Astyanax mexicanus: one gene and its partners. The protein of the gene in region 1 interacts with the protein of each later gene in a pairwise test. Links are inferred from orthologs where the notes say so. Each region holds a gene or a part of one and is shown in the gene's direction. Other genes may lie near its edges. The genes, in order: amotl2a, rad51d, gcc1 and myo5b.

Region 1 (7,848 bases):
ATTTTATTCTGGTTTGGAATGTTGTCAGTTTGACACACTGGCTTGCCAAATAAAGTCTCCCTGGAATCCTTTTAAGTGCGCCTTTTGAGTCATGCAGCAGAATGATCAGATTCTGTAACTGTAGATTGATCTACAGCTACAATAGATACAGAATCACCAGCACCGTAATCAGTTGTACTCATACTGTTGCGTAACGCTCCTGCACATCCCCAAGGGAAACATATTTTAGCACAACAATTCTTCTTTTACTTCTTCTATTGTTTTATGGGTGACGATAGTCTGACTCAATTTTCTGTAATTGTTCCAAAAGCCTGAACCATTTACAAAAGAGTTTTTACACTGCAAACAAACCAGACCATGAATCAATTAATCTATTTTGTTGGACCACATTTTGATCCTTTGGTCTCTTTTGTTCAGGAAAGCTTTTCACTGGATTTTGGAGCATTGCTGTGAGGATTTGTTTTTGCTAGTGAGGTCAGGTTTGTGGATGATCACTAACCCACCCCGATCCCCAACTAACCAAAGTATTATTTAAAGCAACATAATTTAGTGAGCCTCACTGTTGAATCAAAATCACAAGCAGAGAGTTTGTATTGAAGTCAACATCACCTTCAAATTAAAATAAATGAGTGGGATAGAGAAAATGGATGATATACTCAGCATTACCCTTAAACATAAAAAGGAATCTGTTTCATTTATCTGATACAGTATATTGTATATAAATTTTATGATGAATGGCGCAATAGAAATGGCTTTGTTTAGCTCTATTTAGCTTTGAGCGTTATGTAAAAAACATTCTAATAATGTTGTAAAGCAAACCTTTATTATACATACTACTACTATATCACACGGGTTTAGAACATTTTTGAACATTTTGTAATATTATTTTATAATAACATTACAGGCTAACCTTCCTAGACCCTTTTTAAAAACATTGCCAAGCGTTCTCATAGCGTTCTCTGTTAGTGAGTACAGCTGAGTTAGTGAGTACAGCTACTAATAGTACAGCTACTAATAATACTAATAGTACTTCCTGAAAAATAGTACTAGTAATAGTAATAGTACTAATAGTTCTTCCTGAAAAAAAATATATATATCCCTTCTATCATTTAATGTTAGTAGAATATAAATTATCTAAAATGTATTTAACACTGGTTTGTTATTTTCTTCTAGTCTATTGGCAATACATTACTACAGGGAAATGTTAATGATAAATAAACACTACGTATTACCCGATTTTGGATTAAAATCTCTTAGCTTAGCTTAAACAGCTTAGAGAATGCTATCTCTGTTAACTAAGTGATTTTTGTTATCTCCGGGCGTTTTCTGAGTGAAATGTTTGCTGATGATCCGGTTCTTGGGTGGGTTTAGTTTGTTAACTGAAGGATGTTGGTAAAAGCAGATCCATGTGGTGATATGATTGCAGTGGATCCACACATCCGGCACACCAACTGCTCACTAGCATCAACAAGCGAGGACATGCTGCTTTACACACAGCTGCCTCTCACTAACCATCTGGACTCAGTATTGGGTTAAATGGACTGATTTTACGTGCTGCAAAAACTGAGATCAGTCCTATTCTCCTTTTCACAAAGCACCTGCATTCTGTAGATTGTATAGGGGTGTGTGCGTGCAGGTGAGTGTGTTTACAGTACGTATGTAGTGTTTACGTACTTTATATACAGGCACTGTTATTGCCCTAGGCAAAGGTAAGCAGCTGCACAGGACATCTTATAAGCTAAGTGTCCTACAAAAAAGATATGGCCTATATTTGATCTATTCTGATTTTCTGAAACACACTTTTTGGACAAAGGTACTGGGACAACTGCACACTACACACTTACAGGAGCTTTTAAAATAATCCCAGGTGAACAGACTCTAGTGTGACTCTTGCACCACCAAAATTTTAATAGAAAGTTATTAATTATGTTGACATTGATGTCTATTAAACTCATCATAAACACTTAGTTCCAACCCAGATAATAGAGAATGTTATAAGAATGTTTATTAAGGTTTTGAAAAGGTTCTAGGACAGTTAGCTTGTAATGTTACAGTAATAAACTCACAGGAATGTCCTGAAAAGTGTGACATAATAATGGTTTGCATCACAATGCTATTTGAATGTTTCACCCAACATTCCCAGCTAGATGAATACTAGCATTATGAAAATGTTAATAAAAACGAAACATTTAAACATTGACACAAACTATGTTGCAGCAACGCTACCAGAATATCTAAAAGTGTAAAATTAAAATATTCTAAGAACATCCAGAAAACTTAACAGATTAAATATTCTAAGAATGTTACCTGTAGCTGCTCAATAATGCTAGATCTTTTTTTGCCAGATTTTTTCTTTTATAATGTACCAAATGTTTTCTGTTTTAAATGGCATGCTGTGTGCTGATAACAAGCTGGATGGTCACTATATGTATCATCAGTATTTTCTGTGTGCTTCAACATGTAAACAATAAAAAAAATACTTTGAATTATTTGGAATAAAATCATCATACATTCTTACAAAAACATACGTCATACAAAAACATTATGCACACATACACACACACACACACACACACATATATATATATATATATATATATATATATATATATATATATATATATATATATTTTTTTTTTTTTTTTTTTTTTTTTTTGGGTTGTGTAAAAAACGTTGATATATAGTGAGAGGGGTCTGTAGGGGGATGGTGTATGGTGTGTGTATGGTGTGGGGGGTGTGTATGGTGGTGTATGGTGTATGTAGGAGCAGATGGTAGACTCTCCCCTGTAATTCTGCTGTGGGAAGAACAATGCGTCTATCTGAAAGCTTATTAAGGAGGGGTAGACCAGTGCACTCCAGAGACAGCTGGCAGGCAGCATGCCTCTCTCACACACACACACACACCCCTCCCTCACTGTCCACACAGACACACACTCAGCAATTAACTGGCACGGGCCAGGGCTTAAATATTCACCAGCTGAAGGCAAACAAAAGAGCTCAAATCAATACTTTACCAGCTTTCTCATTCAACACATTCCACACTCACCATACACACTCCTGTTCAAATATACCGCTTTAATCTTACAGAGGAGGTTTCAGTATTCTTTAGTTTTTTTTAGATATGTGCTGCAAACAACATAATAGAATAAATAGATTAAATTGGTGAAAAACAGTGTTTTCTTTTTTTAATAATGAAATGAATAGGAAAATTGCACTGTGGCAAAGCATTCAGAATTCAGAATGTGAACTTAAACATTATCATTTTTATATTGGAATTTTATGATAATTGGACCAATAGAAACACTTCAAAATGGCTTGAAATAACATATTTTTACATTGACCTTTTTTCTTACTCCTGTAATTTTGTACAACAAAAAAGTAGCTGTTTGCGAGATATGATTTGTGTGAAAAGCATGTATCTCCATTTTTGTTGATTTTTTTTTCTATTATTTAAACCCATTTAAACTCAAATGATATGGTGAATAGACTAATAGAAATGACTCAAAGTTATTTGGAATAAAACAATTGGATACTTTTCTCTGAACCACTTCTAACTTCCAGTGGAAGTCAATGTAAAAACCTGGACACAATGTGAACGGCAGCTGGTGTGTTCAAATGCTGTAAACAATAAATAACTATTACTTACCCATACCTTGTGTAGATGTGTGTAAAATATTTGGGGGGTATAGAGCAGTGAAATAAAGGACAAATTATGTTGAACACATATGGCTGCCTTTGTCCTCATCCAACATTCTGCTCTCAGTAACACTTGTCACTGAAAGCAATTAAATCTCTACAGTAATGTTTAAAAATCTATGAGAAAACAGGAGTCAACATTCCTTCTATTCATGTTTACTCTATTCATATACATACACACACATATAGGCCTACATGCCAAACTAACCTGCACCCATTCACACCTAATGGAACATTCCTGCCATTCACGCTACAGATACACTATACTGTCCAAATGTTTGTGGACACCCCTTCTAATGAATCCATCAGTAGCAGAAATGCTTCAGAAATTATACAAAATATACTTTTAATAATTTCTGCTTCAAGAACCCTGACAAACTTACCATTTCACTACAGCCAGTGTAATTAGTGCTGTTTAATTAGATGAAGTTCAGCCACAATAAAAATGTATGTGTATGTTTGGCTGCATAATATTTTTATACAATACTTTATTGATTTAGCACATTTCATACGATCACCAATAAAAACACAAAGAAAACATATATGTAAATAAATGTAAACTTACAATAAAACATCAATAAAATAAGAGAAAATGATAATAATAGCAATAAAATTATGAAACGAAATATAAACTATACAAATATATTGAAAATAGATGGATTAAAGCTAAGTATAAATAAACTAACTATCTTTTTGTAAATCTAAGCTAGATCTACATAATTGTTCTAGAATTAATCTAAATATATATTTTAGAAATTCCTAAATAGAAGTTAAATATGTATAAATAAATGTTTTAGTTGCTTTGTTAAGTTGGTAAAAAACTGTTCATATATGAAAAAGTGGTTAAAAACTCGAGTAAATCTAAATATAATCATTAATAAACATGATTAAATAAAATATATCTCAACATATAAGCACTGAGCTCTGCACCAATCCCAGCAGAGGAGCGGGAACGCAAGCAGCCAATCCTGGTCCGGTGGGCGGGGCTTGTGTGAATCCCTGTGGGACCCGCAGCCTTCACATTCCTGACATTCCGGAGCCGGAGAACAATCAGCGCGAGCGCTTAATAAGCGCGGCTCCTCCCCCCGGCCTCAGTCCGCCGCCGGAGCGCAGCGCGAGCACAGCCCGCGAGCAGCTTTAACACGGATATAAACACAGCCGCCGAGCTGTACAGACTTCTAAAGGATCTAAAACTCAGCATTTACCCTCATAAACTTCATATTTCTGCAGGGATGCCGGAGTAACTCGGTGAGTTCTGGGGTAAAACAGCCACAAACTGCGGGTTTATGTGTATTTGTTTTCAGTTTAAGCTCATTTTCGCTTTCTTTTTAACATACATTTGTGTATCTTATCTATTTTCCTTTACTGGATTCCTATTTCTGTTCTCTCACTAAACTAGTTATCTGTTATTTCTGTGTTTTATTACTTCTGTTTAAAGAATGTAGCTTGCTGTGTTAGTTATTTAGCTAGAGGTGGACGATATGGTATATAATATTGTATCACAATACTTTTATTGCAATATTTTGACATGCACAAAAAATCAGATTTGTGAAAACTAATATTCAGATGCTTCCAATACTTTTAGCTAATATAGTTATTTTATTACAAATATACTAAACTAAAATCCAATTAAACACTAATAATTAGCTACACTTTCTGTAATGATATATCAAGTATGTTTGAAAAAAGAAAAAACGTTTTTATCCATTTTATTGCATAAAGTAAAGAAGACCTTTTCCTTCTTTTATAAAGACAATATATGGAATACATGATTTTCTTTGGACAGTTTAGCTATGATTTGCAGTGGATCAGTGTTTTTTAGCACTGCCAATATTTATTGTATGTTCATAAAACTATATTTATTGTGATACAACAAAATACTAACCTATTATCTAGTTAGTACAACATCTGTACCAAGAACTATTAAAGCGTTCCCATGTTTCCAATGTTTCCTATGTTGTCCAGCTTTTTGGACTGTTAAATGTGGATCTGGGGTTGTGTGGAATACTCTGGCACTATTTGCTGTAAATGAGGCCTTATTTGCTTGCTCAATAATGTGAGTTTGCTCAGTTGCGTGAAGGTGAGGCTACAGGAGAGGAATTTGGAGCAGGAAAAGACTGACGCAAATGCAGGTTCAGAAGTCTCACTCAGACTCTAGTAAATGCCATAAGGTCAAACTGCCTCAAGTTACACATACCTGGAGGTTTTGTTGGTTATGTTGGGTCTGTGTGTGAAACTGTGTTTCACAAGCTGTAATCTAGTGCAAAAAACCTTTATGAAATTAATGACAAGCAAAAATTGATAGTGAATGTGTGAGGATATTTGTGAAAAGCCATAATGTAGTTGGTTGAGGGGGTTTATGTGGGATTTTTATTGGCTGAGGTGGTGTTGTTGCTCTAGAGGGGGCATGTGGACTGGAGGGAAACCCATTTCACAACCTAAATTTCTCTTTTTGAATGATGCTCTATGATTAAACTACAGCTAAGCATTAAACAAAAACAACTGTTATGTAAGTTACACATTAAAACAACAGATATTACTTTTATTTAGTGCATTCCACACATTTTCTGAGGTCATCTGGTATACCAACAGTGGGACACAGACCACAGTTTAAGAACTACTGCCTTTACCTGCTGAAACATAGGCCAATTTTAGTTTGTTGTACTAAACTGAACTTAAGTGTGGGTCTACACACAATGTTTAAGAGTATAATCCACTGAACCACAGGCTATTTTTAGTTTTTAATATTATTTATTTACATATATATATACTTTTTATAATTTTATTATCATGCTATTTTCATTACTAATGTTTGTAATTGTTTTAACTTTTAAACCCAGGTTGACCGGTCAAGCCACATAATCGCTCAATCATCACGTCAAGTGTTATATTCTTTTGGCACTACACTTGAACCTTGACTGAGATGAGAACCGCGGAGGAGTCCTCGGGCACGGTGCTGCACCGGCTGATCCAGGAACAGCTTCGGTATGGCAACCCCACGGATACCCGCACTCTCCTGGCCATCCAACAGCAGGCCCTGCGTGGCAGTGGCAGCGGCGGGGGCGCTGGCAGCCCTCGCTCGTCCCTGGAGAGCCTAACTCAGGAGGAGTCCCAGTTCCTCCAGATGTCCACGAGACAGGAACCCCAGGGTCAGGAGCACCAGGGGGACTACCAGCACTCGGAAAGCCCCGTGTGCCACTTGTACCAGCTCCACACGGAAGAGCTGCCCACCTACGAGGAGGCCAAGGCCCACTCACAGTACCTGGCCTCTCAGAGGGGTCAGGCCGGCCTGCAGCAGGGTGGGCTGGACACCCCCGGCGCAGATTCGGGGCTCGAGCAGGACCAGGGCACATGGGACCTCAAACGGGAGCATGCCAGGTCACTAAGTGAGCGCCTCATGCAGCTTTCCCTGGAAAGGAACGGTGCTCATGATAACATGCCAATGAGCTCATCGCATAGTTACCCCCAGCTATTCGGGCATAGCCACGCTGGTGCTGCTGTCCTTGATCACGGGCATGATCAGCGCGGGCCACCTCCGGAGTACCCCTTTACCGTTAAATCCCCTGGATATATGCTGAGCCATTCGCAGGAGAACGGGCACTATTACAAAGAACCCCCTCCGGCGTTCCACTCGCAGCACCACAGGTAAATAATCAATATTTGATCATTGGAATAGACAATATTATTGACGTTATATTGACATTCATAAACATTCATAACAAAGTTAACACAACTGCCAGTATCACTGTCAGCAAAAATGACATTTTCGTATTCTGTAAGATAAATTGCTAACATAATTATTTTGACAGGTCTATCTTTTCATATCACATATAATACACGTTTTTTGCAAAAGTAAATTAAATAAGCATACCAACCCTGATTTTTGGTTTGTTTCTTCCAGATATGTACCAGCCCAGTCACAGGTGATCAGAAACAATACCCTGCCCACACTGCCCCCTGCTGGCCAGGAGGTCATCGTCGCAGGATACAGCATCCAGGCTCCTAATCCTCAAATGGAACAACTCATAAAGGAAAATGAGAAGCTGAGAAGGGAGGTGGAGAGCTACAGTGAGAAAGCAGTGAGACTACAGAAGGTAAGAGAAATCGATTGGTTTTGCCTTGACATGACATGTTTTGAGCTTTATACTAAGT
Region 2 (8,228 bases), on another chromosome or scaffold:
CACTTGGTAGTCTGCATTTACAGTAAATAGGACTGAAATCTGGCTGCTGTGTGGGATGGAATATGCAAATCCACTCTGTGAGACAATTATTACTGTGTTTTTGGTTGTACTGGGAGAAGCTTTGGTTGTCAAATGCATCTTGGAGAGATGAATGTGTTTACATTGCTATAACATGTGGCTCAAATGCATCTCATCTCTTCTTAAGTGGTTTGTGTCTTTGGTGTGTTTACGCTTGCATTTTTATGTGGCTCTGGCTTATCCAGACACCAGAAATAATCCTACTATTTAAGACACATGAAGTGACCAGGTGTAGATGTGGGACGTACAATTTGCCTCTGCAAAAAAACTTGCGGTATGATTGATATAATCTCACATTGCACGCTCGGTGATCTTGTGCCACGAGATCTCACAAGATTACAATAGCACAATATTTCTCACCGGGTGTTAAAAATGTGTATTACCAGACTTATGCACAGGTAACCAAAACAAATGTTTCATTATTTTGGGCAGCAAACAGTAGCTGCTGTACACACGCATGCTCATGTTGTTCCGTGATCCACGTGGTGCACCACACACATTACCAACTTTGTGTGATGCGATGAGGATTGGCAGGTCTGTATAGAACCCTCAAGGAGAATTGCCAGTTAAATAAATAACCCCCTAGGGATACTTTTGGGAAAAAGTATTGCTTGTGTATCAGTAACGAATTCAAAGTATCAAACCGTTACCGGTATCAAAAACATTTTTTAGTAGTTAAAGCTCCACTAGGTAGGCCTTAGATTTTGTGCCCGTGGGCTCCCCCTACAGTTGTAGAGTGTAATAAATGTTTCAGGCGGATTAGTTTCTCTTTGTCGTTTTCTGGCTTTCACAGACATATTCGGTCTCTTTCCAGCTTCTGCCAGAGTGTCTGAATGTCAGTTTGTAAAGAATGAATCAGTAGTCCTTGTCGAACTGTTAGAACTAAAGGTCGGAAAGCAGGTCGCAGTTCTCGCGAGCGTTGGTCGCGGCCGCCTCGGAAAACTTACAGAGTCTGGTTTGAGCACAGAGGAGCTCCGGCACAGACACGAGAGCACCGCTATTCCTCCTGTTACACCTCAATGGAGCGCTGCAGTGAGTTTGAAGCTGTAATTTCACTTCTTTAAAAAGATCAAAAATCAAGGAAATCCTACCTAGTGCTGCTTTGAATACTTAAATATTCACCTGTATGTTTTGCGTTTGTATGTGAGTTTTAGTCAAATAAAATATTTTCTATCATATATTTCAATTTTACAAAATTAAAGTATAGTTATAATCTTGTCTTGTTCTTGTGAACTCAATATTGTGTCTTGTCACAACCCTATGGTCTTGCTGAAACAATATATTGTGCAGCCCAAGTTCTTTAACCATATTAGTTCTTCAGGACTATTATTCACTTTACAATACATGCAGCAACATTTAATTTTAATACCCAGTGTACTGTTCAAAGGCCACTATTTTTATAGAACACCCTGGAGGATCACACCACAACAGATCCATCAACGCCTACAGCCAAAAGACTTCAACTCAAGCAAGTCCATCTATAACCAGGAATGCATCTACTTTCCCTCAGTTTGCATAGGCAAAACACTGCTATGTCACGTTTGCCTAGGCAGCTACCTGCACATCTTGGTTAGATACCTCAGCCGTTCCAGACAGGCCTTTGGCACAACCTTGCATTGGAAATGTGCCTTATGTGCTTCGTTTAGTCACTGCTTTTGTAGTTGCTGAAGCATGTGGACTTTACCGTGTATGCGCGCTTTAATAATGTATAGGTATTAGTTAAGGAAGTTAGCTTAAGAAATTCCAATCGTGCCACATCTAGACATCGAAGCTAACAACAGCAACAAGAATGAGTCAATGTCACACTTCAGACAGTCAGACAGGCTGTGAAACAAATGAACGTGACGATGATGTTGATAATCTGTGCATAATGTTGATTTATGTTATTCTATTTGTAGAATAGTAAGAGTTATCCTGGTTCCAGCTGACAGCTAAATGCTAGCTTTCTGCGTATGGGCGTCCAGAAGCGATCAAACAGATGAGACAAATTGCTAGCTTAGCTAACTAGCAACACAATAAGGTTAACAACTAACCGTTATATTGTTGGTAAAAGCTAAACCTACAGCTGCTGGACTATACTGTCGTGTTTATGAACTAACTAGCTAACTGAATACGAGCAGCAGAAATCCAGGAAACAGTGGCTAGCTAATAAAGCACTGTGTTGTCAGCTGACATGCTAGCTACGCAGCTGTGGAGTTTGGCTCCATGATAGCTTCTAGCTAGTACAGGTCCAGAAAGTAAAATTCCAGCCCGCACTTTTGTTTTGGGCTGAGCTGCAGCGAGCCGCACAGACAAAATCCTGGGCTGGTCTTTTACTTTCTGGACCTGGACTATACCCACTGCTACTAGTTCAGCTAGCTAGCTAGTTCGCTAATGATAATAAACGTAACTTACATCAGTAACAGCAACTTCAGACCTTTATTTTAGCTTTTATTTCCTGTTAGCGAACAGCGAACTAACTACATCTCCTATTTTTATTCAAAACCAACTGCAAACCACTTAAGTTAGCTACGTTAGCCAGAACCGTTTATGCTACGCTAGCTACATTAGCCTAGCAACCCAAGTTACTTGCAGCAAGACTAGCGTTAGCTGGCGTCGTCTCTGTTAACGCTAGTAGCCTGTTAGCATAAATACTAGCAAAATTCCACAATAAAAACGTACAAAGACCCTTAGCTGGCCTATATAACCTAATGTATGTACAGAACCACTGGTGCGTGTTCCGATACATAGCGAACAGACCCCCTAAACTCACCATTTTGGCGCTGTGTCAGTAGAGCGGGTACAGGCGGGCGGTGGGCAGAGCTAGCAGGCTCCAGACGCTTCCACAGACGGACTGCTGGAGCTAGTGAGGACCGGGGCCGGGGGACAGACAGGGCGAGTGACGGTGCAGGAGCAGCGGGCACTCCTTCCCATTATTTGCCGCTCCCCTGTCACCCCTGTAAAGCAACAATAGGGGCTGCCTTTAGAAAAAAAAAAATAGGCAGGCAGTTAGCTTACTTCAACAAGGAACTCACTCAGTGGCTCAGGAAACTAGCGCTTTCTAACTACGACGCACTAGCTACAACGCTAGTCACTAGGGTTGCCAGGTCTGAAAAAAAAAAACCCCGCTCAGACAGGTTGCCAGGTCCAACAAAAATATCCAGCCCAAAGTTAATATAAAAACAGCCATTCAGAAGTTTAAACTAGCCCAAAATAACTTATATGTCTGTGACACATTTTAAGCAAATTTCAAAACAACTGAGTGCGCGACGTATGGTTTATAAGGGAGTTATTATCAGTATTGCTATTCATCCATGTGTCACAATATTGTAACATTACCCAGCTGGCATTTCAACGTTGAATAAACGTTGAATCAACGTTGATCAACGTAGATATTATGGTTGAATCAACGTTGAATCAATGATATAGCGTCATACGTCATACGTTCAACCTTTAATAAACCATAGCTCACTAAAATGAGAAAATCCTATGGTTAACAGTGTCGACAGTAAGCGTACATCACTGTAGTAAAGCTGAGTATAAAGAAAGTTACCCAACACTACCAATCTGATTCAACATCTGATCTCAAAAACACTACAACTGTAAAACTATTAGAACATAAACATGGTGTTGAATTAAAAAGCAGTTACTGCAAATAGTAAAACACTATTTCATTTCTCCATCCAACCGTTTTTAGAAATTATATGGTGATAAAATGTAAAATGCTGATTTAAAAGGCAGAAGGTTGAGGTCATTATGTTGATTCATGATTAAAATTTCAACATTAGCACAATCATTTAACATTATGTTGATTCAACATTAAAATTTCAACGTTAGCACAACCATTGAACATTACATGATGATTCAACATTAAAATTTCAACGTTAGCACAACCATTGAACATTAAATGTTGATTCAACGTTGTTTCAACGTTAAAACAACAACAGACATTACTTTAGTCATATTTCAAACACATTTCAACGTTGAAGGTCGGTTGTGTGCCAGCTGGGTAGTGTTTTATTAGTTCTTTTATAACCGTTTTATATCCCAGTCAAGAGCATTTAATAGTAACATAATTAACAAAACAAACAAACAAAATAACTCACTTTTTCTTACTTAATATTTAAAAGGGTTTGAGAGAGTCTAATTCACTTTGTGAATATGAAATCGCCCTGTTATCTGAAACAATTATATGAGATACTTTGTTTTCGCTTCCAATTTACCACAAAAACAATAACGTTACATCAGATATAACCTATCAATCCATATGTTGCTCTCATGTTTGTTTAAACCATTCTTTTGTAAACACAGTGATAAAATAAATAAACAATCGTTTCTTTCCCTGTTCCACAAAATCACAGGTATATTCTGTGTCTGATTTAAATATTTATAAAACATTTTAACTGGATAAATGACGCGTATTATATTAAATGACACCTCTTCCACCTTATTGCACTGAAGTTTTGGTTTTAGTATTTGGAAGACCTGTTTTTACGTAATTCCAGAGGTTCGCTTCACCACGGGGGCGGGCCGTGACCTCTACGTGGATTTTCATTGGCTGAAACGACGTCGCTAAAGAACAGGACACATTTTTATTGGGTGAAATTTCTGCCAATCTTGCTGGCTCTGTTTAGCTATGAACCTAAGGCGCGTACAGGCAGGGAGTCGCGGCTGTAAATATGTAACTTTAACCTAGTGGGTTTAAGTACATTTATTTTATAAGGTTTTAATATCACGTAGCTGCGGTCGAGGAGCAGTGTGGAGTACGGTTTCAGGCAGACGTATTTGGGGAATGTAGTTAACTTGAAGCGAGGATGTAGCTAACCACTCCTGCTTTAGTTGCTAGCTAGCTAGCAGGGCAGTTTAGCTAACTAACGTTAACTAAAAAAAGTCATTTCAGCCAGCCGTTTGCTTGTTAGCTTGGTTAGCTAGTTATATCAGTAATTAGTTGTAAATGTAGCCAGTTATCTGTTAGTTTCAGCTGAAGGTAATATTTCAAAACAAGCTGGTGATGGTTCTTTTAAGGGAAGGTTTATGTCCAGGACTGAGTGAGGACATGGTGAAAGCTCTACAGGGAGAATGTATTAGAACAGGTAACGTTAACCATAGCACACAAATAACAGCCTGACATATCCTGTGGTTAATTCTGCATTTTCTACACATGCCTACACATCTAAAACACGTCCTATCTATCTTTCAGTGGAAGACCTTGTCTCCTCTGACGCAGAAGAACTGGCTCAGAAATGCTCGGTGTCTTATAAGGTCTGTAGGTTAAGCCATTACCAGTGGTGAACGAAGTACCCAAACCATGTATGTTAACTAGCTAACCTAGCAACCTGAGTTAAAGTAGAGATACTTGTGGTTAAAACAGTAAAAGCTCCCCCCCCCCCCTTTAACCACCACCACAGTAAAACTACTAAACTATTCGCCCTTACGTGAAGATTTAAAGCTGTGTTACACAGAAAGTTAGGACAAATTTAATAGATATCTTAAAGAATATGCAACCTCTTGGAATCATAGGAAAACATCAAAACAATTGTCTGCATGTAAAATAAAATATAACAGTTAATAATAATAATAATAATAATAATAAATAATAATTAATCATTGAACAAATTATGAATAGAATTCCATTTACTATGCTGGATCTGTATATTCAGTACATTCCATTATTTAAGCAAGTGTGGACAACACTGTTGCAGTGTTTTGAACTGTATTCTTGCTCCAGGCTGTTGGAGTAGCTGTGTCCAAAAGGTCAAAACAAGTTCAGAAGTAACTTAAGTGCACACTTTACCCTTTTATGCGCACACAAACCAGTTGTGCAGTTCTAGATACACTCAAATCAGCCCATCTGGCACCAACAATCATACACACCATTTTTTTTTCCTATTTGAATAGTTGATTTGAACCTTACGCAATGCTGGTGGACTGCATTTGTGTCATTTTATTGTATAATATATACAATACAATACTCATATAAAAAATGCATCTTTTTACATTCTTTTATTTATTTAAAAATATAAATTACAGAGCATGTATGCATCACGCACTGCTGTCCAAATCCAGTTCAAAAATCAAGATCCAAATTAAGTGACTAGTGAAAACAAGCTAGATAAAATCCTTAACAATCAGCCATACTTTGACCATCTTGATTTGAGTGCCTTGATGTTACAACAGCCAAATGTCCTCTGTTATTCCAGGCTTTGGTGGCTCTTAAACGGGTACTTCTGGCTCAGCACACTGCGTTCCCCATCTCAGGAGCAGACCTGTACGAGGAATTACTGAGCTCCACTTCTATTCTCTCTACAGGAATTCCCAGGTGATGTGATAAAATATACAGAGGACAATGTGTAGCTAAGCTGCATGGTACAAATAAAATATATCTAGAGATTTTGTTTGTAATTTTGTATTCTGTGCATATTTACTGACTCAACGCTAGATGTTCATTTTGTAGGTAAACAGGGGATAAATGTATGGGTAGGAAAAAAACAGATACAGGGGTTGGACAATGAAACTGTAACACCTGGTTTTAGACCACAATAATTTATTGTCCCGACAGACAGTTCTGGCGGAACAGGAGAGTTAAGGTGCACATTGAATTCTGCCGTGATTTTATGTTTTTTGGATACAATCCAAATTAGCACCCAAACATCCCTTTCAGACAACTTCCTCCTGTATCCACAGTTAATCCTGTTGGATGTGGTTCATCCTTCTTGGTGGTATGCTGACATTACCACCAACTACCTCACTGTGTAATAGAGTAATTACTACCTCACCTGGTCCTTTTTGCACACTGTCTTGTTATTTATTATTCTTTGTCTGTATGGTGTTTTATTGTCTGTCTGCACTTTTGTACTGTTGCACTATTGTTCTGTCTACACTGTGTTTATGTGCACCATGGTCCTTGGAGGAACGTTGTTTCGTTTCACTGTGTACTCTGTATATAGCTGAAATGACAATAAAAACCACTTTGACTTTGACTTTGACTTTACCCTGGACACCGTGGCTCTTGATACATCACAAAGACTTGCTGTCTTGGTCACAGATGCGCCAGCAAGACGTGCGCCAACAATTTGTCCTCTTTTGAACTCTGGTATGTCACCCATAATATTGTGTGCATTGCAATATTTTGAGCAAAACTGTGCTCTTACCCTGCTAATTGAACCTTCACACTCTGCTCTTACTGGTGCAATGTGTAATTAATGAGGATTGGCCACCAGGCTGCTCCAGTTTAGCCATGAAACCTCCCACACTAAAATGACAGGTGTTTCAGTTTCATTGTCCAACCCCTGTATATCTATATGTTAACATATTCCCCTCACATCCTGATTTGTAAAGATAAGCTTAATAAGTAAGTTGAGATGACCTTCAACTTAGATGACGAATGAAAAACAATGTGCCTAAATAGCATTTACATGAATTGTTTGAGATGCTTGTAATTTGTATGTCCATGTACAACTGTGCTCTAGCATCAGGGCATTCTCCATGTTTTCCTGTCTGCAGTGTGGACAAGCTGCTTGATTCTGGCCTGTACTCAGGAGAAATCACAGAGCTGGCTGGAGGTCCAGGAACAGGGAAAACACAGGTGAGCTTTTTTCACTGACATCACCTATAAACAAACGTATAAAATTCCATCCATTCACATTTTCACCTATAATAATAATAATAATAATAATAATTTAGTAGATTTTGCTGGTAGTCTCTTGTAAGTGCTTTACATCTTTTAAATGACAAACATTTCCAGATTAGTATAGTTGCATCTTTTTTTCTTCACCCGTTAGATGTGTTTTAGTGTGGCTGTCAACACAGCACATGAGCTCAAGCAGAATGTGCTGTACATTGATACAAGTGGAGGAGTGTGTGCAGGCCGGTTGCTTCAGATGCTTCAAGCCAAAACCTCAAGTACTGCAGAACAGGTAAACCCCAGCATAATCTAATAATTCAATATGTGCAATTATATTTGTTAAATATTTGCAAAACTTAAATAACAATTATGTCAATGTCATGTTAGAAATAGTTGGTGTACTAAACCTGTAGAGCGTTTTCTCCCTCTGTTTGGTTTGGTTTGGTTTCACACAGGCATAAACCTAAACACACCAATAAACCACCCAAGCACGCTGTCTTCTCTGATTGGTCAGAGCTGTCTGGCATGAGAGCAAGAAAGTAAATAT
Region 3 (8,371 bases), on another chromosome or scaffold:
GAAATAACTTTTTTACGTTTTCAGATCCGCAGGGAAATTACCTCTCTTGGTCTGATCAAATTTGTTCCTTTTGGTCAGGAATATGGTTCAAAACTCCTTTAACACCTGATATTTTGGTCCAAAACAAGTCAGAAAGTCCGGACCAAACAAAAAAGTTGTGTAAAAAAAAAAAAAAAAGCATCTGTAGATCAGTGTGGCATCCTACTTGAAGATCCTCTTGCTGCCATGGAGCATACCTGTGTGTTCTGGAAGTAGTGTCTCCACAACGGTCTGATTTTGTCCTGGCCACCGACATCCCACACAGTGAAGCAAATGTTCTTATATTCAACAGTTTCCACATTGAACCCTAAGCAGTATCAAAAAAAACAACACAACTACATTACTAACAATATGTATTCACATACATTACATGTATAATAATAAGGAGATAAGCCATGTACTATTTGTCAAATGTACTCTGAATGAAGTTCTTTAGTAACGGAACTGTTGTATATAGAATTATGTAAAGTCAAATAACCAATGGGGTTCTTAAAGGGTTTTTCACATTTTTGGAAAACCCGTTAACAGATGGCTCTACTATAACTATGTGTTTCATGTAAATACATTTACAAAACAGTATTTCCAAGATGTTGCAACACAAGAGAGTCATTTCCTGTTCTGTGGAAAATATGAATCAAATATCCATAACCCCTCACGTTCACTCCAGTGGCTATATTATTTCTCACATAAACCCATGTTACATTCTTTTAATGCCACAAATGAGCGACTTAAAATAGTAAATTAGCAGACAAATAAAAAAATAAATACCAATAGTTGGAATAGTGGTTACAATCTCTCCCAGTTTCAGCTTGTATAAGATGGTAGTTTTTCCAGCAGCATCCAGACCAACTGCAATTAAAGCAAACATATTAAGAAATATTAAAAGCAAACAGCATCACTTGTTTAGCAAGCAATATTCAGTTCACATTAAGTACAGAGGTGGCAACAAGAAATTATATGAAACACTATTATTTTCAATAATATGTAAGTTTTTGTAATGTAACATTTTTTTTAAGGATGCCAGAAGTATGTTCTTCAAAGTTTTGAAAGGCCCATGCTAACAAATGCTGGATGAACCAAAACACTACAATGCAATTTGGTACTTCAGTACTTTGAAGTTTAAAGTTGTTTTTGGCGTTTGCTTGAATTGTGAATTATCTAAACCATCATAAAACCAACCAACAATCTTACATCTAACAGAGGGGTTGCTGAACTTATGTGTAGGTTATATAAAACCCTTTTTCTCTGTAGCAAAATAAGCCATTTACATTCTGAAGAATTTGAGGCCTTTAGAGACTCTCCTACAGGAGATGCTGCCAGTTCACCCTCTACTCCACCTAATAATTTGTTTTAAAAATGTTTGAAAATAGACATAAAAACTAGACAACCGTAACAAAATTAAAGTTCTGAAGCACATTAAAATATTTGTATTCACAAAAATACAGATTTTAAAACGAAGCTTAGGAAAGTGCCATTTTTGTGATTTTTATCCACTATAATTTTTATTCACTTTATGTTTTATTATCTACAGTTGCAGATTTAAATAAATATTTAATAAATATTTTCTCAGATTTTCAGTAATGTTTCCTATCAAATATGAACCCTTTTTATGTAATGCTTGAATAGGTAGCCTTAATATTTAGGCATGTAATATCAGGCAGAAAATTGACAAAAAAGCTGGCTTTAAAAGAGGTTAACCTTGTTTTTCCTCATTGTCTAACATGACATCAGAATAAACCTTTCCCATTTTAGGTCAATTAGAATTCCTAAATTATATTTTCCAAATGCCAGAATAATGAGAGCGACATCATTTTGTGCGCATTTTATTAGTCAAAAGTTTACATACGCTAAGATTACTATGACTGAACAATTTGGCACAGCCCATATGATCATATAATGACTTTGGAAGCTTCTGATAGGTTTATTGGCAACATCTGAGTTAATTAGAAAAACACCTGTGGACATATTTTATAATCTGCATGAGTTCCCTTATTAGTATATCCCTAGTTACTACATTACTACACCCCATCCCCCAACTGCAGCAACCCCCATCATTTACTTAGTTAAATGCAGGTGGAGACTATTTTTTGTCCAGGCAGTGTAACTTATGATATACCGGGGCATAAGAAATGGTGGCAAATATTTACAGCATTTGCAGCCTTTCTATTTGTTGATCCAAGTATAGTTTGCATATTTGGATTTCAAATTTTGATGATCAGTGGGCTATGTTCAGTTTATATCAGTGAAGGAGTTTCTGAGTGAGGACAGAGTGCTGTAAGGAGCTTTTAATTACCATGGGCTCTTTAGGTTAAATTAATCCCGAAAATAAGCAAGGAACTAAATGAATAGACGGGAATAAAAGGGTAGATGTGTATAATTATCTCATGAATATTCAGGAGCGTATGAGTAAAGGTATTTACATTTAAACAATTTAATTAAATCAGAAAGAACAGGCTGTGCTCAGGGAGCGAGTAAAGGTAAATCGACCCACCTGAGGATCGAGTATTAAATTACTTTAGGCATCAATAAAACAACAGGAGGAGACACTTAAACTGTCCGCAGGTCAGATCTACAGCTCTACAGCTGACCTGCTGCTCAGGGTCGGTCTGACTGATAGTAAAGGAGAAGAGACTATGTGCTGATCAGGCTGTGAGTAAAGCATTAGCGGTGTGCTCGTATGTGTTAATGGTGTTAATGTGTAAAAAGGGCTGTGATGATCAGAGGGTCTCGCTTTCATTAGCCGAGAGCTCTGACAGACAGACAGACAGACAGACAGCCGTTCGCTCACCCATCAGTATCCTCATCTGCTTCTTCCCGAAGAGCTTAGAGAACAGGGAGGATATGGTGATTCCCATGGTCAGGAGATCAGAGAGATGTAGAGCTGATAACAGAATAAATCAGCCGGTGTTTCCAGCAGTGGAGCCGCTCTCTGTCTCTGCAGCTGACCTCCGTCCACGGCCAGGCCAACGCGGAAGAAATGACGTCAGCGCGTCTTCAGTGAGGCCCAGTCCCAAACGACTGTCTGTTCCCTCTGTAGTGCACTTACTCACTCACTCACTTTACACTCACTTTAAGGCATATTCCGCCGAATCGGTGCCATTTCTGTCCCCAGGAAATTACATGTATAAATGTGCACACAAAATAACTTAATAATAAAACATTAATAACCTACTTAGAACACTGAAGAAATAGCATTTGTTACCTGTCCCCACTCTCTAACTATATGTTTTTTGTATTGTGAGTCCAAATCCTATTTATGTTAATGTATTAGAAGTCTTGTCCAGATCCTCTTATTGGTGTAGCATGGTGTGCTTAACTACCTAACTAAGAAATGTAATTATGTTTCTGTAAAGAGGTGATGTACAGTACAGGCCAAAAGTTTGGACACACCTTCTCATTCAATGCGTTTTCTTTATTTTCACGACTATTTACACTGTCTATTATACTTTACACTATCTACTATTTCTCACTGAAGGCATCAAAACTAAGAATGAACACATGTGGAGTTTTGTACTTAACAAAAAAAGGAGAAATAACTGAAAACATGTTTTATATTCTAGTTTCTGGAAAAATAGCCACCCTTTGATCTGATTACTGCTTTGCACTCTTGGCATTCTCTCAATGAGCTTCAAGAGGTAGTCATCTAAAAAAAATTTCCAACAGTCTTGAAGGAGTTCCCAGAGGTGTTTAGCACTTGTTGGCTCCTTTGCCTTCACTCTGCGGTCCAGCTCACCCCAAACCATCTCGACTGGGTTCAGGTCCGGTGACTGTGGAGGCCAGGTCATCTGTCGCAGCACTCCATCACTCTCCTTCTTGGTCAAGTAGCCCTTACACAGCCTGAAGGTGTGTTTGTGGTCGTTGTCCTGTTGAAAAATAAACGATCGTCCAACTAAATGCAAATTATATGGGATGGCATGTTGCTGCAGGATGCCGTGGTAGCCATGCTGGTTCAGTGTGTCTTCAATTTTTAATAAATCCCCAACAGTGTCACCAGCAAAACACCCCCACACCACCATAGCCCCTCCTCCATGCTTCACAGTGGGAACCAGGCATGTGGAATCCATCCATTCACCTTTTCTGCGTCTCACAAAGACACAGCGGTTGGAACCAAAGATCTCAAATTTGGACTCGTCAGACCAAAGCACAGATTTCCACTGGACTAATGTCCATTCCTTGTGCCCAAACAAATCTCTTCTGCTTGTTGCCTCTTCTTAGCAGTGGTTTCCTAGCAGCTATTTGACCATGAAGGCCTGCTTTGCGCAGTCTCCCTTTTATCAGTTGTTCTAGAGATGGGTCTTCTGCTAGAACTCTGTGTGGCATTTAACTGGTCTCTGATCTGAGCTGCTGTTAACAGTGTTCTCAAATCTCATGCTTTGAGCGTGTGACACACCCACCTCAGCAAGTTAACACTCTTACACACCACACATGGTATTCCCCCCCAGTTGAACAACTGAGGAGGAACTGTGTGCACCCCCACCACCAAACAACCCCCACCCCCTCCAAATCTCACGCCCACCAAACTTCAAGTAAACGCGAACCCTTAAATGATCTCGAAATTAAGAGGATCCAGTGATAATTAGGAATGTGATAGAATGTGATAGAGGCCAGTTTTTAAAAAGCCTATTCAAATTCGCCATTCACATGAACCGCTTAGACACGGAACCCCAAATATGGACATAAACAACATGGCACCGCCTACAAAAATAATGACAGTGGTCTATGGAACCTATCAGAGCTGCGCTACATCATGATTTCAACATGCGCAGTGAAGGGGGAAAAGGGGGAACTGAATTTACCATAACACCAGCTGCTTCGCCATTAGGTAGGCTAGGCGGCATATAAGTATATATATTATAACTTATTTTTCCGACTACATTCCTTCACTGTCCAATCTATGGAGGGTTATTTGCGACAATATTATATAAATAAATGAATTAATATATATATATATATATATATATATATATATATATATATATATATATATATATATATATATATATATATATATTAATTATTTATGCTTCGTTTTCATATTTAAATAAATACATAAATAATTAAATGAAATAATTCTCATTTAAAATATTTATTTACCGTTTTAATTAATTATTTTATATATATATATATATATATATATATATATATATATATATATTTTTTTTTTTTTTTTTTTACGTATAGGGTCACAGGCCACCAGGCGTTTTCAGGACGTCACTTCCTGTGAGTGGGAGAGAAGCAGGAAGAGACGGAATGTTATTTTGACACGTAGCTGAGAGACTTTCGCGCTTTATGCAAAATCTCAGGTATTTAATCAGTTTAAGTAAAGTACAAAAAAATCACATGTTTAAAGAGCGGCTGCTTTAGTGGGGTCGCCGGGTTTCTGCTGGGTTTGTTTGTTAGCCGTTTGGATTAGCTCGCGGGCTAATTGTTATGATAAGGAGGTCCGCTTGCAGTAACTGACCTAACGTTAGGTTAACCTAACTAACCTAACCTATCTAAGTTACCTCAGGATTAAGATTTAATAAAACAGTATTGACTTCAGTAGTAGAAACCACAGTTATAAGATGTTGTAGTTTATGCTTTCCTGTAATTCGCAGATTAGTGTGTGATAGTGATGCAGCCTCTGGAGTAATTTTAAAGCAGTTCCACAGTGTTTGGTTTTTGGGTGCCATGTGCTGTAGTGTTTACTGTTTTACCTAGTTCAGTTCGTCATTGCTGGATTTAATCAGTAAATCAGTAGCTGACATTGAAATATTGTATAAGTATGGGCTGCACTATGGTCAGAACTTAAGTAAAAATAAATGAGACTGGACAGATATAAACAGGCACATAACCAGAGCTGTTTAAACCCTGATTGCAATATGCAAAGTAATGGCTGTATTGAGTAATGATATATGTATTTGGAATAATAGTGGCTGATGGGATAACACAGTGAATCTAAGTATACATACTTAAACACATTCATAGTTCTGCATAGTTCTGCCTAATACAATTGAAGTATAATTGTCTAAGCTGCACAATTAAACACTAAAGACAAATTGAAATGTGCCTAAATTATTATTGTAATATGATCTCTATGCTTATCAGTTACATACTATAACAATTATTGTTGTCCCAGGATAAAATTAATATATTTATTAAAAAATTGTATAATAAAACAAATTTGTGCTTTTATAATAAGGCTTAAGTATATTTTATAAGTATTGTCACTTGTAATACTAAATGTCACCGCTGTCACAACTTCTCCAAATTGCCTACTTTACTAGAAAAAGGAAAATAATTATTTTGTTAAAGTATATATACAAATATATCACAGTACTGAATCGGCACAATCAAATAAAGTTTACAGATAAAGTAGTTAAACAGAAAAATATATACTTTATTTATTCCGGATACATACCAGGTACACTATTATTAGATAAAAGTGGATGATGGGCATCATACATTTAATGGTAATTTTTTTGTTTGAGCTCTGTTCCAAAATAGTGATAACTAGCCTGGGTTATGTATATTATTTGATAAGTACATAGAAGGTAAATGTAAAATGTATGCTGCAAAGTCACATTTGTGACCTGTCATAAAACTTATTTTGGATTTGGATATTTTTATGTCCGGCGAAAAAAAAATCTAAATTAAATGGGTTAAGAGAAGAGAACAATTATATGTTATATGTTCATATAACATATCCAAAATATGATGAAATGTGAAGGTTTTATAATCACTAACTTGGAGCATTCATTATAGTAGTAACTAAACATTTAACCAACAAGCCAATATTGCATTTACTGACACATTCTCCCTCTGTTTTAAACTTCTGCAGGTTTACATATTTTGCAGCTCTTACTATGAAAGCACTTTAAGTGTGTCCTCACAATGGAAAAGTTTGGAATGAGCTTTGGTGGAGGCCCAAGCAAGAAAGACCTGCTTGACACAATTGAGGCCCAGAAGAAGCAACTTATCCAATATCAGACCCGTTTAAAAGATGTTGTCAGAGCGTATAAAAGTTTGCTGAAAGAGAAGGAAGCTTTGGAAGCTAGTCTGAACGTCCTCACTGTGTCCCAGGAGGTGGATTTAACCCTACACAGCCATGACCCACCTTCCAGTGGATGCACTGGCAAAGCAGAATGCCCACCACCTACTGACCTTGTAGATGACCACTGTTCCATTCACAGTGAGGACAGTGTGGACACAGCAGCTTCTGTTGACACGGCTACCAGTGTGACCAGCAGCAGCACTAAGGGTGACCCTTTAGAGGAAGATCAGAGTGGCCTTGGAGAAGGATCAGTGATCCAGCAGTCAGAAGACACTCAGAGTGGCTCGGAGAGTGGCGTCAGTTCCGGCAGCAGTGCAGGTGTAGATCAGCCCGTTGCTTCAGCAGTTGCTGAAGTAGATCGCCGGGTGATTCAACTCAAGTCTCAGCTGTCTACTTTGACCAACTCTTTGGCCACGGTCACTCAGGAAAAGTCTCGAATGGAGGCTTCCTTCCAAGCAGACAAGCGGAAGATGAAGCAAGACCTTGAGGAGATGCAGGGGAAGATGGAGGAGGCACACAAGCAGTACCAGAATGAGCTTCAGGCTTTGCAGGAGCAGCTTGCAGAGAGCAAGGCTCGCGTAATCACACAGCAGCACGAGCGGGAGCAGGAGCAAGGTGATCATGCCCACATGCTCCGTGAGCTTCAGAAATTACTGCAAGAGGAAAGAAGTCTAAGACAAGATGCTGAACTTAAACTGGAGGATGCTAGAGAAACCTTGGTGGAAACCATGCAAGCTGCAGACAGGGGACTAGATTATGAGGAACAGGTGAAGAAGATGGCTGAGGAGTGTGAAATGCTGAGGAAGAGTCTGCAGGCTTCAGAGGCTGAGAGAAATAAGCCTGATCCAAGGGTACAGGAGCTGCAGCAAGAGATTGCTGACCTGAAGGCACAATTTAACCAGCAGATTCAGCACGAGATTAGGAAGGTAAGTGTTGGCCAACTGCAAATGTCTCTAAAATGCCAGCGACCAGACAATACTTTTTTTAATAAAAAAGCTCTGCTAATGTAGCTAACAATGAATCAATGACACAGTTGACAGAGCCTGGTGATGCATTAGCAGTTTTATTTGGCAATATAACACAGAAACACTTACTGTCAGGTTCAGAAGGTAGATTGCCTTTTTTTGTACTAGAGTTTATGCTTCTCTCTCTCTCTCTCTCTCTCTCTCTCTCTTTCTCCCTCCCTCCCTCTCCCCCATCAGAATTATAATAGAGATATTATAATACAGTAAAAAAGTCTGCCAGACCTTAACCACACTGTACACCATTATTACTGTCCCTTTCCCAAAAATACAGTTC
Region 4 (7,463 bases), on another chromosome or scaffold:
CTCTAAGCCATGTCTCCAATAGGCGGCACAAAAAAAGATGCAGTCCCACAAATAAAAAAATAAAAAATACACATTATTTCACACATTATCAGCAACCAGTATCAGGTTAAGAGCTGTTATTATTAAAATAAAAGCTTAAGTGTATATATTTTCCAGTTTATATAGGGTATTTTAAGCTAAATGTAAGATGATTTTCACAATGCTAACCTAGCCAAAATTCAGCGTTTACAGAGCAGCAATGGAACAATTTTAACTCGCTGAGTTTTTATAACCAAACAGATTGTATTTTCTTGTCCTCTTTAACTCTAAATCTTTTAATAAACTGCAATAATGGAACTGTGGTATAATCGGAATAATACACTCGAGGTTTGTGATATAACATGTAATATTGGCACTGCTGTGCTGATTTATAGTACCTGGTCTGCAGCCTTGTGCCTACAATTGCAGCACAGCAGTGCCAATATTACACAGTATAGCACAAATCTCGAGTGTATTATTGCTTAAGTTTTGGATTGGCACTCCTCTACTTAGTGGAAATAAAAATAATAAAACTCTATATTTTCTGGGCCTGAGGTTTAAAATTAGAGGATGAACATAGAAACAAACAAATATACGACTTGTGTGAAAACTCAAACTGAAACATGCTGATAATTATATCTTCCTTTTTTGTTGTTGCTTCGTTTCTTTCTTTCTTTTTTTCTTTCCAGTGGAGCGTAATGCACAGAAACAGGTTGAACTTGCGAAGGAGAGGGATGACCTGAATAGAGTCGTCCAGGAGAACAAGCTGCTGGATGAACAGGAGAAAACTCGGTGGGTTTTCTTCTAGAATTATTCTATCATGTCTCTCTTCCTCACTCTACATCTCTCTCAGTCTACTCAGCCTCAAATCATTAATACAGTGTCCCGCTGTTCTGCAGTCTCAGGGAATCCTGTCTGGAATATCAGGCTGATCTGTTGGCTCAGATTCTTCACCAGCAGCAGCTGTGGGAACAGGAGCAGACTGAGCAAGAGCAGGAGATCCGTAAGGGCCTGGTCTATCAGGAGAAATACAACCAGAAGATTCAGGACATCCTGTCCAGGCCTGTCTCCAACACCACAGCCGTTCACCCCTTCAGGCGACGGGCTCGACCCACCTCCAGCTAAACCTGCCTCAAGCCTATTGCCTAACGTTGCATGTTTAGCTTACCCAGTACTCTGATGTTCCTATGAAAGACAAAAACTGAAATAAAATTAATTTCACAAACTGCATATTCAGTGTGCAGACATTTCTTCAACCAGAAAGGCTGAGATTAAACAAATTCTCACAACAGGATACTATCCAGTCAGATACTATTCATAATACATGGAAATTCCAGCAATTATACTGTTTTTTGGCAGCAGGGTTGCCAGAAATTAGCCATTACAAAACTTTTTTTGGCACTCTGCCTCTGCTGCTGCTGGAAAAAAAAAATATTTCCATAAATCAGAAAAGAACTGTTAAATTAAAGTATCAATTAATGGTCAAAAGTATTCCAAATACATGATTTACCTGTTAAACATAATAATAAACATATATAATAAACAATAATAAACATATATACTTCCACTATGTGTACAAAAAAACATATATTTATATGTACAAAAACTACTTTAGTACTCAACATGACGGCTTTAACAGCAAAGAAGCAAAAAATACTAATTCCCACAAAAGTCTGATACTATCCATACTATATGGAAATTCCAGCAAGTTATTGTTTAATTTCTTCGTAATTTATACTGTCAAAAATCTGTAGAAGGATTTTTTTTTTGGCAGCAGGGTTGCCAGAAATAAGCCATTAAAAAAGCGTAATCTTCGTAAATTATAAAATAGTAAATTATTTTTTTTTTGGCGCTCCTGCTGCTGGAGAAAATCAAAAAACCTATTCATAAAAACAGAAGAACTGTTAGATTAAAGTATCAATTAATGGTCAGAAATATATATATATATATATATATATATGTTTATTTCAACAGGTAAATCAGGCATTTGAAACACTTCTGACTGTTAATTGATACCTTAGTCTAACAGTTCTTCTCTGTTTATTATGGGTATTTTTCTCCAGCCACAGGGTTGCCAGAAATAAGCCATATAAAAAACAAAATTGCAAAAGTGCTGGTAAATTGCATTTTTTACATGTTTTTTCTCTGGCACTCTGCTGCTGCTGGAAAAATAATTAGATTAAAGTATTAATTAATGGTCAAAAGTATTCCAAATACACGATTTACCTGTTAAAATAAACATATATACTTTCTCTATGTGGACAAAAAACATATATTTATTTGTACAATAACTACTTTAGTACTCAGCATAAACTAAAGAATACTTAGAGTCTGTATAAAGCTCTCTCCTCAAGCACGACAGCTTTAACAGCAAAGCGCTTTCATAAAAAGAACATGTTATAAAGATAAGTCACACTGACACGCCCTCAGATAGATTGTAGTATTATTTAAAACTACCAAAAACATTTAGCCAGCTTCCCCAAAATCCTCTCTTTTAGACAATTAAGGAACACAGCATAATAAGACTGCTATTAAACATTATGTAATAGCTTTCTACTTTTTGTCTTTACATCTTAACTATTAAAATATGCCATATTTGTGAAAAATCTAATGGTCAAAATATTTGCTTGTGAAAGATCTGCTACAAAAATTTGCATGCTTTTCATGTGTGACGTACAGCTAATTTTAGGCGAGGATTAAGCTGTGTGTACTTTTGTATTATGTTGCAGTCTGTTTATGTACCTAAATTTGCAAAACTGGCCAGACCTGACTGCCTGGAGTTCTATGGGGTCAAATTGAATACTCCTCAAACAGCTATTTAAACAAGTCGAATCATATCCCTGGTGAAAAAATATTTATATATATATATATATATATATATATATATTGTACTTAAAACATATTGACAAATGTCTAAGTTTGCTGTAAATATACTAACAGATTTATGTACTTAAAATATATTAAAAGTACATTAATATTAATACTTTTTAAAAAGTACAATATAGTGTATTTAAAAAAATAGACTAATATGAAGTTCACTTTAAGTTTAATATAATTCAATATACTTCTAAAATACGTATTTACAAATATACTTTTGTACATTTTTAGCAAAGTGTGTTAAAAAAAACAACTGTTACAGCAGTTCACTTAAAGTAAAATTTATCATGTAACCTTTTAGAAAATAAATTTAATGTAATTTTGTAACACACAAAAAATTATAGTACAGTATATTAAAATATATTTTTATACCAAACGAAGTATACTATTTTTTTATACTTTTTATACTAAAAAGACAGCAACAAGAAGTATATATATTTGTAATGTAAATGGATCACATATATTTAACTTCAATTCTTATTACATTTCTAATATACCTGGTGTATAATAATAGTGATACAGTTGTAATACTCATTATTAAATGTATATATAATATAATATATAATTTTACTGTAAGCATATTTAAAATATGGGGTTACATACATGAATTAGTTTAGATGATTAAATGTTACTTAAATATATTTAAAATTGTTTCATTTTATTACAGTTAAGCACACTTAGCACAATTTAAGCAAGAGTTTTGTACTATTTTTTATACAATTAACGTATAATAAGTGCAAAAAAAAGCTCTCTTTAAATATATTGATTAATAATACTTTTTTTCTCACTAGGGATGTCCTACATAAAGAAAAGGTAATTCTTGCTGAATCAGTGAATCAGTAGGCCTACAGTATGGCACTGTAGCTTACCATAAGTTGTTTGTAAAGACATTTAAGTCAAGATATCTGTTGCTGTGAGACAGATACGCCCCCACAATACAAACTCATCCTCATGAAGTCATACTGAGACAGTGTGTTCGTCTTGAATGTGTCTGTAATGTGTTCTAATTACCCATGTACAGTAAATACCCTGAATAATGAGCCACTGGATTGCAGATTGCAGAGGTTGGTATAATGAATGGGCAGAGAGCTTCTATCCAATAGCCTTCTTGCTTAAATGATTACGACAGGTGTAACACAGCCTTTGTTTGTGCAGGTTTGTCTATTCCATGACAGGTAAAGCACGTTAAAGAGCTAGCTCAACACCTCATACCTGCTGAAGGAGTGGTTTGGGAGTGGAGCGATTTGCCTGATGACATTTCTGTCTTCTCCCATGTTTTGTTGCTCAGGCTGTTACTCAAGTCCTGGTGTGAGTCTGCAGTAGTTACTTCACTCCCTGTCTGAGGTTCACAACCCTCAGCTTTGTGCTTCATGTTAGACGTCTAGAAATGAGTGGAGAAGAAGGAAATATGGTCAGCAGCTTCTCAGGCCTGTGATTCAGATCACTTGTTTTGTGGATACTGATACAGTTTGTGGGTACAGTTTTCGGTTCAAAGAAGAAAGCATGACGACTGTTTCTGATCTTTATGTGAAGGTAGGTCAGTTTATTCTACTTTGCTTGAGTGCTTAAAATGTGATGCATAATAAGCAAACTCAAAATAACTCTATTAGAGTTTTTGGATTTTAACACTTTAAAAGTGTCTATTTTAGGGTTTTTTATCGTATCGATACGTGGCATCAAATACCAATATTTTTTATTGAAACATAGTCGCTCTTAACTCCCTAACACTCGCTCCCAATTCAACTTACTTAAGTTTCTGCTTCATCACTCCACGTGGTGGCGCTATAATTAATAAATAGGGTTAATAAACCTGCGGTGCAAAATATTATTTGTTAAATTCTGTGAAACTGACACCAATAAAACAATAAATACTGGTATTCATAGAGAATTATCATGTGATATCATCGTTATCATGGGCAACATATTGTGATAATATCATATCGTAAGATTCCCTGTGATTCACAGACCTTATTTATATGGTTTATATTTTAACACTTTTAAAAAAGTCTCATAGAGTTAATTCTGACTCTACGTAAGGAGTTAACACTAAAACTAACAGTGATAAATGATCTTAACACTGGTGTGTAGTGTTACAAATGAACTCTTCTGAAGAGTTAGCTTTTAGGACTAAAAAACTATTTTGGATCATTTGGCTATTAATGATGACAGCTAGCTAAATTAACTTTAGTGTTAATAATAACTGCATCAAACAAGGAACTAAAAAGACAATATATCTGTCCTGCAGTGTTAGTTTAATTCACATTACAAGGAAGTTTAGTCACTTGTTAGCTAACTAGCTGATCTTACTTGTACAAAAGCAAACTCCACCAAGTGTTGGGTTAGCTCTGGAAATATTTTGCTATGTAATTTGAGACCTTTAATCCCTTAAACCCTAGGTTTATAGATTAAGTATAGATTATTTGGCAACTGTTGGGCTAAGCATATCATGTGGAGTCCCACATGGTTCTATTTTGGGGCCAATAAAGTTACTTTAATTGTGAGAGTAGAGTAGTTTTCAGAAGGTGAGGAGGAGTGGAGTGTGGGGTTAAATACTGGGTCTTAGGCAGACCTGAGTATGGTACGGCCCACAAGCCACATCTGATTCCTATAGCTTTCAATAACGGCCCTTCACATATCCACCTTAGAAACTGCACTGAACTTCACTGCGCTTGTTAAAACCCAAAAAAGACTAGATTTCTCTTACTGAACAAGCAAAAAATACTGAAAAACAGTAAATGAGCTAATTACACCATAAACCAAACAGCAATAGTGCTTTGTATGAAGTGAATTTAATGCTGTTCTTAATTGGAAACATAATTGTTTATGAGGATGTGGATTAAATTATGATATGTCTCTACCAGTTTTAGCTTATCAAAACCATATAATTACTCCATTTTAAAGGGGTAATTAACTTTAAGCTGAACTGAGATCAGTCGGTCTGGATCTCCAAAACAGATCCAGTTTATTATGTGGCTCCTTGGGAAAATTAATTGCCCACGCCTTTGTCTAAGGGCTTACGAGGTACTAACACATCTCCTCACAGACCAAAAACATGGTTCATTATGGATCTAAAAGAGTTTTCCCTGAACCAGTGCTGCATTTTTAAGAATAATTAAGAATCTTACTGTTCTAATCTCATTTTATCCCATACTTTTAGTAACTTTAGGTCTGAGGCGTGGTGCTGTAGTAACCATACGTGAATTTGTACTTGTGTCTCAAGTGTGACAGAAGGTCACAGCAGAGACTATAAAGAAGGATTAAGGGATTAAGAGCTGGAAAATAGCCTACACTCAAATTTTATTCATGAACTAAATGTGCATGTCATTATGGTGCCCATGACAAGGAGAGAAAAGAGATTTTGACAAGCTTGTGCTACACCCAGTAACTCACACATGCCCTCTGCTCTCTCAGCACTTAACAGCAGATAACAGAGCAAGTGTGCTTTAATGCCTGAACCCTGCAGAGATATACTGAGATACAGCACCAGTCAAAAGTTTGGAAAAAAGCTCTATAGGAACACAAAAAGTGTTAAACAAACCAGAACATGTTTTATACTTTAGATTCTTCTAGATAGCACATTTATCTTTGAGGACAGAGGACAGATCTCAGTGTCTTCATGAGGGAGACTCTCCTGAAGTAGTTTTCTCCTCTTGAAGGAAGGAGTTTCTGGAGGTGCTGAACAATAGTTGCTGTTTTTCCTTCACACTGTGAAGCTCCAGCTCATACCAATTAAATCACCTCAAATCACCATCTCAGTTCATCAGGTTTAGATTAGGGGATTCATGTGGAGGACTAACACTTTTTTACTGTTTACTATGTAACTCCATATGTGTCCCTTGATTGTTTTAATGTCTTTAATATTAATCTATCTTATCTAGAATTAAATAAAGACAGGTGTGTTCAAAATTTTGACTGGTACTGTTCGTTGTTGAATAAAACAAATATGTACAGACATATAATGCAAAATATGTGCAAAATTTATATACCAGACACATGAACAAAGTGTTTCATTTATGGTACATGCAGAATAAACATTTTTGTAGGGTTTTTTGTTGCAGACTTTTGCACCCATTAGCAAGTCCTGTTTTTATCTACTATGGCCAGTGAATGTAACTTGGTATCAAAATTACAGACTATGTACATATCGAAGCGCAAAGAAAAGGCAGAAGCAAACAGGACTTTAGCAACAAAATCCACTTTTTGTCATGAAAAACTACACACTTAAAATTATATCAGGAATCAGGAATGATGCGTTTCTTTGATTTTTTCAAATTGAAAAACTCTGGAATATAATCAAGAGAAAGATGGATGATCACAAGCCATCAAACTAAGCTGAACTGCTTGAATTTTTGCACCAGGAGTGTAAAGTATAAAGTTATCCAAAATCAGTGTGCAAGACTGGTGGAGGAGAATATGCCAAGATGCATGAAAACTTTGATTAAAAAAATATTAAAAACCAGGGTTATTCCACCAAATATTGATTTCTGAACTCTGAACTAAAACTTTATGAATATGAACTTGTTTTCTTTGCATCTTTTTTTTTGTCATTTTAGCCATTTCTCATTTTC

Evidence for each region.
Region 2: the proteins of amotl2a (region 1) and rad51d interact in binary tests that used the Homo sapiens proteins (3 or more experiments, as listed by UniProt). The two-hybrid records come from large-scale screens. The link is inferred for Astyanax mexicanus from reciprocal best matches to the Homo sapiens genes AMOTL2 and RAD51D.
Region 3: the proteins of amotl2a (region 1) and gcc1 interact in a two-hybrid assay, tested with the Homo sapiens proteins (2 studies listed by BioGRID and IntAct). The two-hybrid records come from large-scale screens. The link is inferred for Astyanax mexicanus from reciprocal best matches to the Homo sapiens genes AMOTL2 and GCC1.
Region 4: the proteins of amotl2a (region 1) and myo5b interact in binary tests that used the Homo sapiens proteins (3 or more experiments, as listed by UniProt). The two-hybrid records come from large-scale screens. The link is inferred for Astyanax mexicanus from reciprocal best matches to the Homo sapiens genes AMOTL2 and MYO5B.

The regions. Positions count from the first base shown.
Region 1 is NC_064412.1:48,138,247-48,146,094, reverse strand, and holds the start of amotl2a (angiomotin-like 2a), read left to right. Parts: upstream 1-4,770; 5' UTR 4,771-4,944; intron 4,945-6,536; 5' UTR 6,537-6,619; coding exon 6,620-7,341; intron 7,342-7,597; coding exon 7,598-7,790; intron 7,791-7,848. UniProt on the Homo sapiens protein: Regulates the translocation of phosphorylated SRC to peripheral cell-matrix adhesion sites. Required for proper architecture of actin filaments.
Region 2 is NC_064408.1:29,033,819-29,042,046, reverse strand, and holds the start of rad51d (DNA repair protein RAD51 homolog 4), read left to right. Parts: upstream 1-4,659; 5' UTR 4,660-5,068; coding exon 5,069-5,150; intron 5,151-5,257; coding exon 5,258-5,319; intron 5,320-6,257; coding exon 6,258-6,376; intron 6,377-7,560; coding exon 7,561-7,642; intron 7,643-7,838; coding exon 7,839-7,973; intron 7,974-8,228. Other genes in the region: tmem248 (transmembrane protein 248), read right to left, coding at 2,831-2,833. UniProt on the Homo sapiens protein: Involved in the homologous recombination repair (HRR) pathway of double-stranded DNA breaks arising during DNA replication or induced by DNA-damaging agents. Bind to single-stranded DNA (ssDNA) and has DNA-dependent ATPase activity.
Region 3 is NC_064409.1:35,742,928-35,751,298, forward strand, and holds the start of gcc1 (GRIP and coiled-coil domain-containing protein 1), read left to right. Parts: upstream 1-5,237; 5' UTR 5,238-5,342; intron 5,343-6,859; 5' UTR 6,860-6,912; coding exon 6,913-7,998; intron 7,999-8,371. Other genes in the region: ADP-ribosylation factor 4, read right to left, coding at 237-346, 808-888, 2,828-2,894. UniProt on the Homo sapiens protein: Probably involved in maintaining Golgi structure.
Region 4 is NC_064424.1:6,583,064-6,590,526, reverse strand, and holds the start of myo5b (unconventional myosin-Vb), read left to right. Parts: upstream 1-4,193; 5' UTR 4,194-4,398; coding exon 4,399-4,428; intron 4,429-7,463. Other genes in the region: cfap53 (cilia- and flagella-associated protein 53), read left to right, coding at 708-810, 918-1,143. UniProt on the Homo sapiens protein: May be involved in vesicular trafficking via its association with the CART complex. The CART complex is necessary for efficient transferrin receptor recycling but not for EGFR degradation.